Danio rerio: one gene and its partners. The protein of the gene in region 1 purifies or fractionates together with the protein of each later gene. This does not show direct contact. Links are inferred from orthologs where the notes say so. Each region holds a gene or a part of one and is shown in the gene's direction. Other genes may lie near its edges.

Region 1 (4,096 bases):
TTTTAAGTGATTTTTTTGTTAGTTGTATTAAAGCTATGGCTAATTTTTAGAAAGGCAACAGTAACTCAAATAAGCACCTGTCACAACCGAGGTCTGCAGAAGAGCATTTCTGAACACACAACACGCCCAATCTTGAGGCAGATGGGCTACAGCAGCAGAAGACCACACCGGGTGCCGCTCCTGTCAGCTAAGAACAGGAAACTGAGGCTACAATTCACACAGGCTCACCAAAACTGGACAATAGAAGATTGGAGAAACGCCGCACGGTCTGATGAGTCTCCATTTCTGCTGCCACATTTGGATGGTCGGGTAAGAATTTGGCATCAACAACATGAAGGCATGGATCCATCCTGCCTTGTATCAACAGTTCAGGCTGGAGGTGGTGGTGTGATGGTGTGGGGGATATTTTCTTGGCACACTTTGGGCTCATTAGCACCAAAAAAACATCATGTCAGCAGCCAACAGAGTATTGTTGCTGACCATGTCCATCCCTTATGACCACAGTGTACCCATCTTCTGATGGCTACTTCCAGCAGGATAACACACCATGTCATAAAGCGTGAATCATCTCAGACTGGTTTCTTGAACATGACAATGAGTTCACTGTACTCAAATGGCCTCCACAGTCACCATAACTCAATCCAATAGAGCACCTTTGGGGTGTGGAGGAAAGGGAGATTCGCATCATGGATGTGCAGCCGACAAATCTGCAGCAACTGCAGGATGCTTCCATGTCAATATGGAGCAAAATCTCTGAAGAATATTTCCAGTACCATGTTGAGTCTCTGCCAGGAAAGATTAAGGCAGTTCTGAAGGCAAAAGGGGGTCCAACCCTGTACTAGGAAGGTATACCTAATAAAGTGGCCAGTCAGTGTATATTCTCTCAAAACGTTTACATTTACTGCCACAATACTCTTTCGTGCTCTTTTGTTACATTTATGTATTAGAAACTAATGTGTACCATAAATATGTACTCATTTGTATAATTGTTTCATTTGTATTCATGATTTATGTATCTAACGTTAATAAAAAACTAAAAAATATACTGCCACAACAAATATGGCGGTTTGCTTAACCCACACATGCTGAACTGACCAATCAGAGCGCGAGCTCCTGTCAGACTAATATCCAATCACAAGGCTCATCTTGCTTCTTGAAAACATGTCGCCCATGAAGCTGTGTGTTCCAGGTGGGTCGCTGTTATTCACATGTTTTTTGGGGGATTACTTTTATGTTTGGCGTCTTATTGCTGACATATCTTGGCTATGTGTTGATCCTTTATGCATATAGTGACATTTTATGAGCTTTGATGTAAGTTGCGGATAGTTTTGCGTCTCGAAGCGTTCACGTGTACTGCTGTAGGGCTGAATCGTCAGCACGCGCGACTGTTATGACGCTGTAAACAAGTCTCATGTCTTCGACTTCAGTCAACATATGCCAATAAAGATGCTATTTTAGCTGATTGCAAGCACACTGTAAATAATCGCGTTTGTGGATGAGTTTGTGGGGTTTAAAGACTCGTTTGGCGAGCCCTGCCCACCGCCCGGGGCTGTCATGCATACCTGCCCTCAAACACTCGCTCTTCTGCCTCTACACGATCCGCTGACGCGATCTGCTCTCATCACTTTAGGCTTGATTTGCTTCAGGAAATCCAGATTTATGATGTTTATTTGTGGACTGCATTTGTAGCTGAATATAATTGCAACTCTTCGTTTAGTCGGGAGTGGAAAGTCTCGTAATCACTTACTAGCTAGATATGCACTAGTGTAAATGTATATACACTTATATACACTTAGCCAGAGCTTTTGTGTAAGAGGTTTTGTTTTAGTTGAAATGTAAACCTGCTTGTTTTTGTTAATGGACTATTTTGTTGTAATGCATTTATTTATTATTATTTTATCATTCTATTATTTTATTATATTTATTATTTTATTTTTCATTATTTAAAATAGTTATAATATTTGACATATATTGACATTAAGTGTGTGTGTGTTACAAATTGTATATAAATTTAAATATCTATCTTTTCAAAACTGTTTTTTATGTTTCACATGTACATAATATATACATGTTTAACACACGCACATAAAAATACTACTGAAGAAAACATTAAAGGAAATACTTTGAAAATGCCTTTGGTCTATTAAACATGGTCTGGGAAATATTTGAAAAATATGAAATATTGAAATATTTCACATAACTGTACCTTTATCATACTTATTTCTTGGCTGAAATAAGCATTCATAGTAAACAGACCAAATCTCATGTCCTAATCATAAAGTCACTATGTTATAAGTTTATTACAATTATTATGCAGTTAATAGACTAATTTTAACATGTCAGCTTGAGGCCAAACTGTGGATGTGTTTGTGTTCGTCATGGCTTATAGACTCTCTATTATGACAGCAGTACTGTACATGATTTATGCATTTTTCTGTAGCATGCCTCACGTGTGTGTGTGTGTGTGTGTGTCCTGCAGGCGAAAGGCTTTGCAGCACAGAGGACTGTATTCCTGGTACAGGCACGTATCTGCGGCACGGCTACATCTTCGCTTCACTAGCAGGATACGTGCTGAGGAAGAATGAGGGAGAGGAGGTCAGTTCACCTCTGCTGCTCTCATGCAGATTAAATTTCAGCTTAGAAGTCCATGTTTCTTCATAACCGAGTACTTAATTTTCCTCCCGACTTGATTTCTAGTTGCCGGTGATTTCAGTTGTTAGAGAGACAGAAGCGCAACTTTTGCCTGACGTCGGTGCGATCGTCACCTGTAAGGTATATCGGTTTTGATATATCTTAATCTGTCACATGTGTCTTTGTTAGCCATTTACAGATTATTACGAAAGTTGAAGAAACACAGTTTTTGGGCAATAAGCTCATTTTACAGCTCTCCTGAAGTTAAACAAGTGAGTTTGACCATTTTTGAATCCATTCAGCTGATCTTCAGGTCTGGCTGGAGCTCTTTTAGCTTAGCTTAGCATAAGTCATTAAATTGGATTAGACCATTAGCATGTTGCTGCAAACATTATTTAAACATTTATATGATATTCCAATTTAAAGGTTGAGTTTTCTGTTGTTACATTAAGTACTAAGACTCACAGAAAATGAAATGTTGCTCTTTTTTTAGGCTGATTTGGTTATAGGGACTATACACTCATTCCGGCGTAATAATCAAGAAACTTTGCTGCACCATGGATACAGCAGAAACAATGATATTATGCATCGCTGTTACCCTGCTGGTGTTGTTTTAAGGTGCTTTTCATCATCATTGGTCCTGCTTCACTCATTGGTACAGCGGCAAATTTCTTTGTTCATACACCAGTATGAGAGTATAGTTCCTATAACCAAATTGGTCTAGAAAATAGCAACTTTTAATTTTTCGTTGGTCTTGGTACATGATGCAGTTATAAAAGGGTCAAGCTTTAAATAGGTAAATGATCAAAACTCCTTACTCAATTTTGCATGAAATGCTAATGGACTAATCTGATTTAATGATCTATGCTAAGCTAAACTAAACGTGTTCTGGAGATCGGCTGAATTGATTCAAAAATGGTAAAACTCTTGGAGAACTATAAAATGAGCCTTTTCAATAAAAGTAAAGTGTTCCTTTAAGGTTTCGACTGCATGTGTGTTGTACTTTGTTCAACTGTAATTTATGACTGTATTTATGTATTGAAAGTGTATTGAATATGCATGTTTTTCCTCACCCTTTCCAGGTGACGAGTATCAACCCAAGGTTTGCTAAAGTGCACATCTTATATGTGGGTTCGACACCGCTAAAGGACAGGTTCAGAGGCACAATCAGGTACAGATGTTTGCATATCAGTAAATCTGCTATTATAATATACAGTGATCCCTCGTTAATCACTGGAGTTACACTCTAAAAATAACCTGCAATAGGTGAAATCCGAGAAGTAGTATTATTGTTGTATTATTAATTATTCTAGATGTTTTAAGGCTGTGAAACCCCTCACGACACTCCTTTTTCCAGATAGGCATTAATATTTTCACACTTTTCTTTCTTGTTTAAACATTCCCGTAACTTCTACCATACTTAAGCAGTTCAGAAGTTTTACTTTTTGTGAGATGGTTAGCATCT
Region 2 (3,167 bases), on another chromosome or scaffold:
ACTGCCGGATTATGGGGAACGCCCACAATAAAACAAACAAACAGATGAGTGGGATGATGGCGTCTTCCGCATTAATAGACTAAATATTATTAAAGAAAAAAACGCACGTCAGTGATATGGGAATATTTTGTTCACAGACACCAAACAAAAAAAGGTTATTTGTAAGAGCTGCCGCAGGATTGTTGCAGGCATGAGGAAATACAACCAGTACCTAAAATGTCTACAATATTAAATTGCAAATCAAATCTAAATATCTGTTAAAAAAATTTTGCAATTAAGATATTTTCCCCAAATTGCACAGCCCTAGCATACAGCGTTTGAACCAGGACACTTTAAAATGAAAGTCCTAATGCATGTACCCCATTAAAAATGATTCTAGTTCTAATGCAGTCTGACATTAGCAAATATTCGTTGCCTTATGGATATCTGATGGTTTATCAAAATGTCTCTTAAATTGACAAAATTACAAGGTATTTTTAACTTTGCCAGAAACCACATCATCGAGGAGAGAAGTTTCGTTCCCTGTGAGGATCTGGTTTACGGCAGAATGTCATTCAAAGGCTTCAATCCTGACGTGGAGGTACAGCTTTCATCCGTTTACAGCCGTTTGCTTCCGTTTTGTTAACTGTTCTCAATTATTGTGTTCACGTTATTGGAGCATAATCTGAAGAATAAGCTAAAGGCACAATATGTATGATTTTATTTGTATTAACATATTCAAAAGCCACTTGAACAGTTTATTATATCTTTATTTTTCACTCAGTCATCAAAACACACCTTTGTTTGTTGTGAATACACGCCCTCTAGTGGCTAAATTTACATACTGTGCCTTTAACAATGAGCTGAAAATGCACGTCTTGCTCTAATTATAGCCACTGATAGCCACCTGTAATCTAAAGTGGGGTTTATTCATCACAAGTCTGAATCTGTTGCAGAAATTAATGTTACTAATGAACGCACCAAGAGAGGAAGAGGATGAAGAAGAGGAGGACGAGAGCATGAACAAAATGGAAACCGATATTACGGATGAAGAGATGGCCAAAAGGTGAGCAAGGACAAATACATCTGTAATCTACACATCTGTTATATATATATACGAGGATAGTGATGAAATGAAGCGTCTAAACAATTTTACCAATTACTTCGCTAAAGCAATTCGAAACCGCACATGCTAGAAACCCCTGCTGGTCAACACTCAAACAAAAGATGCATTAGAATTGACTCCCAAACATATTAAAATTGAAAGTTTAACCTATAAATAAACTTGGCTCGTCATCTAAGATCATTAAATGTTAAGTCTCTGCATAATGTTCTTTCATTTAGATGTTTTCAAGGCTTATATATTGCTTGTTAAACTGCTAAACAGGCCAGGAGGAGACTATTAGCTACTTTTAACCATTACTCCTTTTCATTTTATACACATCTCCTTAAAATATTTAACAAAATTTGTAAAACTAATCCGAGATCAATCAGTGAAACCTGTTCAGTGATTGGCCACTGGGGGGCGACCTGAATGAATCTGCGTGATTCTTGTAGATTTTATATTGCACAGATCGCCCCCTTGTGGGGAAGCAATTTCGAAACCATATTGACCATAACGAAGCTCAATTTGAATGAAATCCTGTGACCTTGCCAATTGGAAATGCGCACCGAAACCACTGGTTCGAAACAAAATTGTAATGGTTTCGAATGTGGACATCACCAGCAGATGAAAACCTTGATTTTTGCTTTTGTTTTACAGGTATCAAAGTTTGGTTGAGAGCATGAGGAAAAAGTTCGCCAAGAAAAGAGATCGCAGTGCTGTCTCAAACAAAGAGGATGTCAACTGCAACGTCACTGATGATATTAGACCCAAACGAGCTTTCATGAAGCCACAGGACTGAGACATTTTAAATCTGTAAATGCTTTATTTTTTATGCAATGGACTTCTTTTTTTATTAGTAGTATTTTTTTCTGTTTGGTAACAACAAATGCATTGTTAAAAGACTGTCTTTTATGGGAAAAGCACTAGTGGATGGTGCACTAAGGGGTTTTTTGACAATTAAATGTACCATCGTTGAAAAGCGTAGTAGATCCTGACCAGAGTTTCTTAACCAATTCTTTAAAAAATGATGTGTAGAACTTCCATGTTGTTTTTAAATAATCATTAAGAGAGAATCACATTAATGACACTTAACCAATATGCTGTTTAGACGATATGCTGTAGAGTGAAATCTGCTCTCTCACAGAAACAATATATTCATGAGTCAGAAAGTCAGATTGATGAGATTGTGTTGGAAATGTTAAAAAAAGGTTATTCATAGTGTAAAAAAGACTGCAGAACTTACTATAGCATAATTCAACATTCGAACAGTTATTTAATATTGACATTGCACGACTATCTGGGGTCAAAATCCATTGCTGCTGTGTTCACATTGTATAATGGATCAGTGACAGGAAATTACGCACAGCATGACTTTACAACAGGGAAAAAAAAACGCTGATAACTCTTTCTCCCCAATCACCCCAATGACATACAGTGCATTTAGACAATATTGATAGCGCTTTTTCCACTTTTTATGTCACAGCCTTATGCAAAAATGAATTAAATCAATTTATTTCCTCAACATTCTACTCACAATCCCCCAGAATGACAATGTGAAAAAGTTTTTAAAATTGTTGCAAATTTATTGAAAATAAAAAAGCTGTAAAATCACGTGTACATCAGTATTCACAGCCTTTCGCTGAACCTCGGCCATGTAAGCTGAGTGATCGGGGGAGAATGGCCTTAGTCAGGGAGGTGATCAATAACCCGATGGTCACTCTGTCTGAGCTCCAGCGTTCTTCTGTGGAGAGAAGAGAACCTTACAGAAGGACAACTATCTGTGCAGCAATCCACCAATCAGGCCTGTATGGTAGAGTGACCAGACGGAAGACACTCCCCGCCTGGAGTTTACCAATGTGAAGGACTCTCAGAGCATCAGAAACTAAACTCTCTGCTCTGAGACTAAAATTGAACGTCATGCTGTGGGGATGTGTTTCAGCAGCAGGAACTGGAAGACTAGTCAGGATAGAGGGAAAGATGAATGCAGCGATGTACAGAGACATCCTGAATGAAGACCTGCAGAGTGCTCTTGACTGTGGTGACGGTTCATCTTCCAGCAGGATAGTGACCCAAAGCACACCGC
Region 3 (3,659 bases), on another chromosome or scaffold:
ATATTATTTTTAAACGTCTGGTTAAAAAAAAAATCTAAAACTTTTTTCCCTTTTGAACACAATAAATTTTATTTTGAGAAACATTTATGATATTTTGTTGCAGTAAACATGTCAGGCTGAATAATGAAAGTGAATTATTGACTTCTGCTATCTTTATTTGTTTTAAAAACAGATTTCTTTACAGTTTAAAACAGCCTTTTTTGATATTTTTTTCTGCTGGAGATACTGTTTCCCTAAAAACTAAATTAAAATAATGTAAATAAAAAAATCTTAGCAGAAAATGTTGGCGGTTTTAAAACCTTGACTTTTTCAAACCACGGTATACCTTGAAAACGGTTATCGTCTAATGCCAGCTAGAGAATCTTTAGTTTACAGTGATAGCTGATTGGCTCGTGTACTAGAAGGTGAGGCTTCATTCGCAATATTGACCAGTACCAAAGTCCCTTTAAGGCAAGTCATTTCACTCGGTGGCCATCTTTGAAGCGGCTCTCTCTGCCATTCTGTCTGAAAGGAGAAACATCAAATTCTCTAAAACTACTAGCCAAGCTTGCGATTACATATTACGAATAACCAATAAAACTAAACAACAGCTGTCTATTTAGTTTAATTTCTAAATGTTTGTATCACACAAAATCTGCAGAAACTAACATCTGGTCCAAACCCCTACCCCGGAGAATTGTCATTCTATAACGATCACTGATTGGCTCCTGTACTAAAAAGTGGGCTTTAGTCACCATATAGCGATTGCTGATTGGCTCCTGTACTAGAAAGCGGGGCTTCAATCGCCATATTGACAATTACACATTTCCCCATTCAAAAGTATACGAGTGACATCTCTTGTGTATTCTATAGTCTTTGCCGTTACATTTTTCCCAAATTCAAAACTAAACACATGACATCTCTTGTGTATTCTATAGTCTTTCACTGCAGTAGGGCATAACCCTAGTAACACAACAAACAAACACATGTACTGGATCTTGACTAGAACCTAATTAAAAAAATAATAATTTCAAAAACATTCCCATTCCTAGCATGTGTATATTTATATCATTTTTAACTTAAGCTCTACAAAAGCATAAATACAAGGAGATTCAGGGAATCATAAATTTAAGAAGTGTTCCATATCCCAAACCAGCACTCCTGATAACCTTCTCTGCATACTCTTTAGGCTTCTGCCACTTTAATTGTTCATGCTCATTAGAGTCAGGAAGAGTTTAATTGGCTGTTGATGTTTTTATGCTTCATTCGCTGGAAGACAATAATTCTAAATGTGATCTAAAGATATGGTGTGGACTTCATTGTCTTTATATATAAAGAAAAGGTAAAAATGTATATTGTTAGATTTTATTCTTTGTGTGAATGCAGCAGTGCTATAATTTGTCATATTTTTATATAATGGATCAGTGATTACTAATGTTGTCTCTCTTCAGGCAGAGGTAGTAGCTCAAAAGAGGAAATCAATGACCCCTAAACGAAAGGTGTGTTGACATTCATTCAACAGATTGTTTTTATTATTGTTGTTAATATGCCTCAATACCAATATGCATATTTTATATGGCTCAGTATGCCTTGAACTGGTGCAAGGAGTTTATTCCTTACTGCTGTTGTTTTACAGCCACAGTCTACTTTATTCGGACCCCATGACACGTCACGCTCCTCTGAAAGTGACTTCCTGGACCTTTCTTCTTTTGGTAGGTGTAAATAATAATAAGAATGTCATGAGTGTTTATTTGCCTTTAATTTTTATATTTTAAATAAGTTTGATGATTAGATTAATGTTTTCTGCACTGGTGTAGAAACCCCAACCAAACCTGGAATGCTGTTCTCAGAGGAAGATGAGGAAAGTGTGGATAGAGAGAAAAAATCAGTGCATGGTCTGACTGCTCCAGCAAAAATCAGTCTATTTGCGGTGAGTAGTTGATGATGATGATGATGGTGATGATGACGATCATGATGATGATGAAGAAGCCTTTATTTGTCACATACACTGTTACATGTAGCGAAATTGGACTCCTCCGACCATACACACGTCACACATTTCAGGGATAGACAGGTCAGATGAGCGGTATCTTTAGAAAGAGAAAATAAGATATATTAGGGGAAAAAGCCCCTCCCAGACTGTCCTTAAAGTAGGGCAGTGTGAGGTCAGGGGAAGAACAAGCCCCAGCAAGAAGCACATAAACACATAGACATAACATCGCAATGGGGTATGTGGAGATAATCATATGTAGGCAACAGCCATTCAGTCCTGCAGCTGAAAAGCACATGAGTATATACTTTATATTAACATATTTATAAATATTTGCATTAAAGTTTTTTTTTTTGAGAAAAAGATTGGCGAAGCAGGTCAAAATTTGTATATTTTTGAAAACTAGATTTATATATATTTATATATATATATTAGGGGTGTAACGATATTAAAACCGAACCGAAATATCGCGATACACCAACCACGATACATATCGCGAAACTCTGAACCAATTTAAACACATCTTTATTATCACATTTGATTAAATTATTTTAGTAATGATGAGGATTTGTTCTAAATATTATATTCTAAAGTTAGTATTTTAGTGCATGTTATGTCATGTGACTTGAGTAAGCATCACACTCGTTACTACTGGACGCAGGATGGCTGCTTCACATAGTACTGAGATTGCAGATTCCCCAGACACATTTAAGTCATCTGTGTGGAAACATTTTGGTTTTCCAGTTGAGTACAGGAATAGAATTCATGTCGTAGACAAAGCACACGCCTGTCTGTCTAAACTGTTTCACGAAACTTACTTGTAAGGAAAAACATTTAAAAAGTGTGGTAATTTCACAATGTGAGGGTGTAAGCAACAGAACTGCCAACAAAAGTGATTTAATGTACAAAAGTGAAACCAGAATAATGCCCAAATATACAAAAAAGAGAAATATTTACACTAATAAAAATAATATAATAAAGTAACAAATTCAAACAAAAGTATCAAACAAAAATTAGTTAAACTCGAGCAAGGGGGTGATAGTGAAGACAAACAAAAGAAATAAATATAACAAAACAATTCTAACTCATGAATAACCCCTTACCTTGCTAAAACTGATGAAAAGAAAAAAAGGTCTTCAGCGCCGTGCGCCGCATTCTTCCCTATACTGAATAAAACAAACAAAGATGACCTTCACCTCTTACCTGATGTCTTTAACAATACATTTTCTACGTGTTTGCAAAATGGAAATCGTATGACATTTTCCCTATCCACCTTACACTAAGACTGAACTTGAGGAGATACAGCTGTATTGTCGGGAAGGAGCGGAGCCAAAAAATAATATACAAATCAATTGAAATAAAAATGTACAAACCTCACAAAATTACTTAAAGTGGGCAAAAGTAATGCAAAATAATTTTGCCTAAACGAAAGTTAAGCAAAAACAACGAAAATCATAATCATGTCAGAAAAATACACAAAAAACGAGATCAAAGGAAAAAGCGCTCTCTCTCCCGCTCTTCCTGACATGCTTTTCACATTCCCGCGCTGCGTCGCCAAATGATGATAGATCGGTCTCCTGACCAATCAGCTGTCAAAAAGGCAGACCTACAGAAATGACAGGCATCAACTGTCGTAAAGGCGGACCTACATAAATGACCGGCATAGAGTTAGCGGGAGAGAGAGAGAGAT

The links.
Region 2: the proteins of exosc1 (region 1) and mphosph6 purify together in Homo sapiens (affinity purification with mass spectrometry; 5 studies listed by BioGRID and IntAct, counting the BioPlex papers as one, with this or other methods). This does not show direct contact. The link is inferred for Danio rerio from reciprocal best matches to the Homo sapiens genes EXOSC1 and MPHOSPH6.
Region 3: the proteins of exosc1 (region 1) and exosc10 purify together in Homo sapiens (co-immunoprecipitation; 8 studies listed by BioGRID and IntAct, counting the BioPlex papers as one, with this or other methods). This does not show direct contact. The link is inferred for Danio rerio from reciprocal best matches to the Homo sapiens genes EXOSC1 and EXOSC10.

The regions. Positions count from the first base shown.
Region 1 is NC_133176.1:58,184,220-58,188,315, reverse strand, and holds the start of exosc1 (exosome complex component CSL4), read left to right. Parts: upstream 1-1,148; 5' UTR 1,149-1,161; coding exon 1,162-1,189; intron 1,190-2,479; coding exon 2,480-2,595; intron 2,596-2,697; coding exon 2,698-2,772; intron 2,773-3,713; coding exon 3,714-3,802; intron 3,803-4,096. UniProt on the Homo sapiens protein: Non-catalytic component of the RNA exosome complex which has 3'->5' exoribonuclease activity and participates in a multitude of cellular RNA processing and degradation events.
Region 2 is NC_133200.1:38,538,500-38,541,666, reverse strand, and holds the end of mphosph6 (M-phase phosphoprotein 6), read left to right. Parts: intron 1-390; exon of another isoform or gene 391-442; coding exon of another isoform or gene 443-489; coding exon 490-580; intron 581-935; coding exon 936-1,045; intron 1,046-1,741; coding exon 1,742-1,883; 3' UTR 1,884-2,582; downstream 2,583-3,167. UniProt on the Homo sapiens protein: RNA-binding protein that associates with the RNA exosome complex. Involved in the 3'-processing of the 7S pre-RNA to the mature 5.8S rRNA and play a role in recruiting the RNA exosome complex to pre-rRNA; this function may include C1D.
Region 3 is NC_133198.1:16,330,698-16,334,356, forward strand, and holds part of exosc10 (exosome complex component 10), read left to right. Parts: intron 1-1,430; coding exon 1,431-1,478; intron 1,479-1,615; coding exon 1,616-1,691; intron 1,692-1,796; coding exon 1,797-1,909; exon of another isoform or gene 1,910-2,408; intron 2,409-3,659. UniProt on the Homo sapiens protein: Catalytic component of the RNA exosome complex which has 3'->5' exoribonuclease activity and participates in a multitude of cellular RNA processing and degradation events.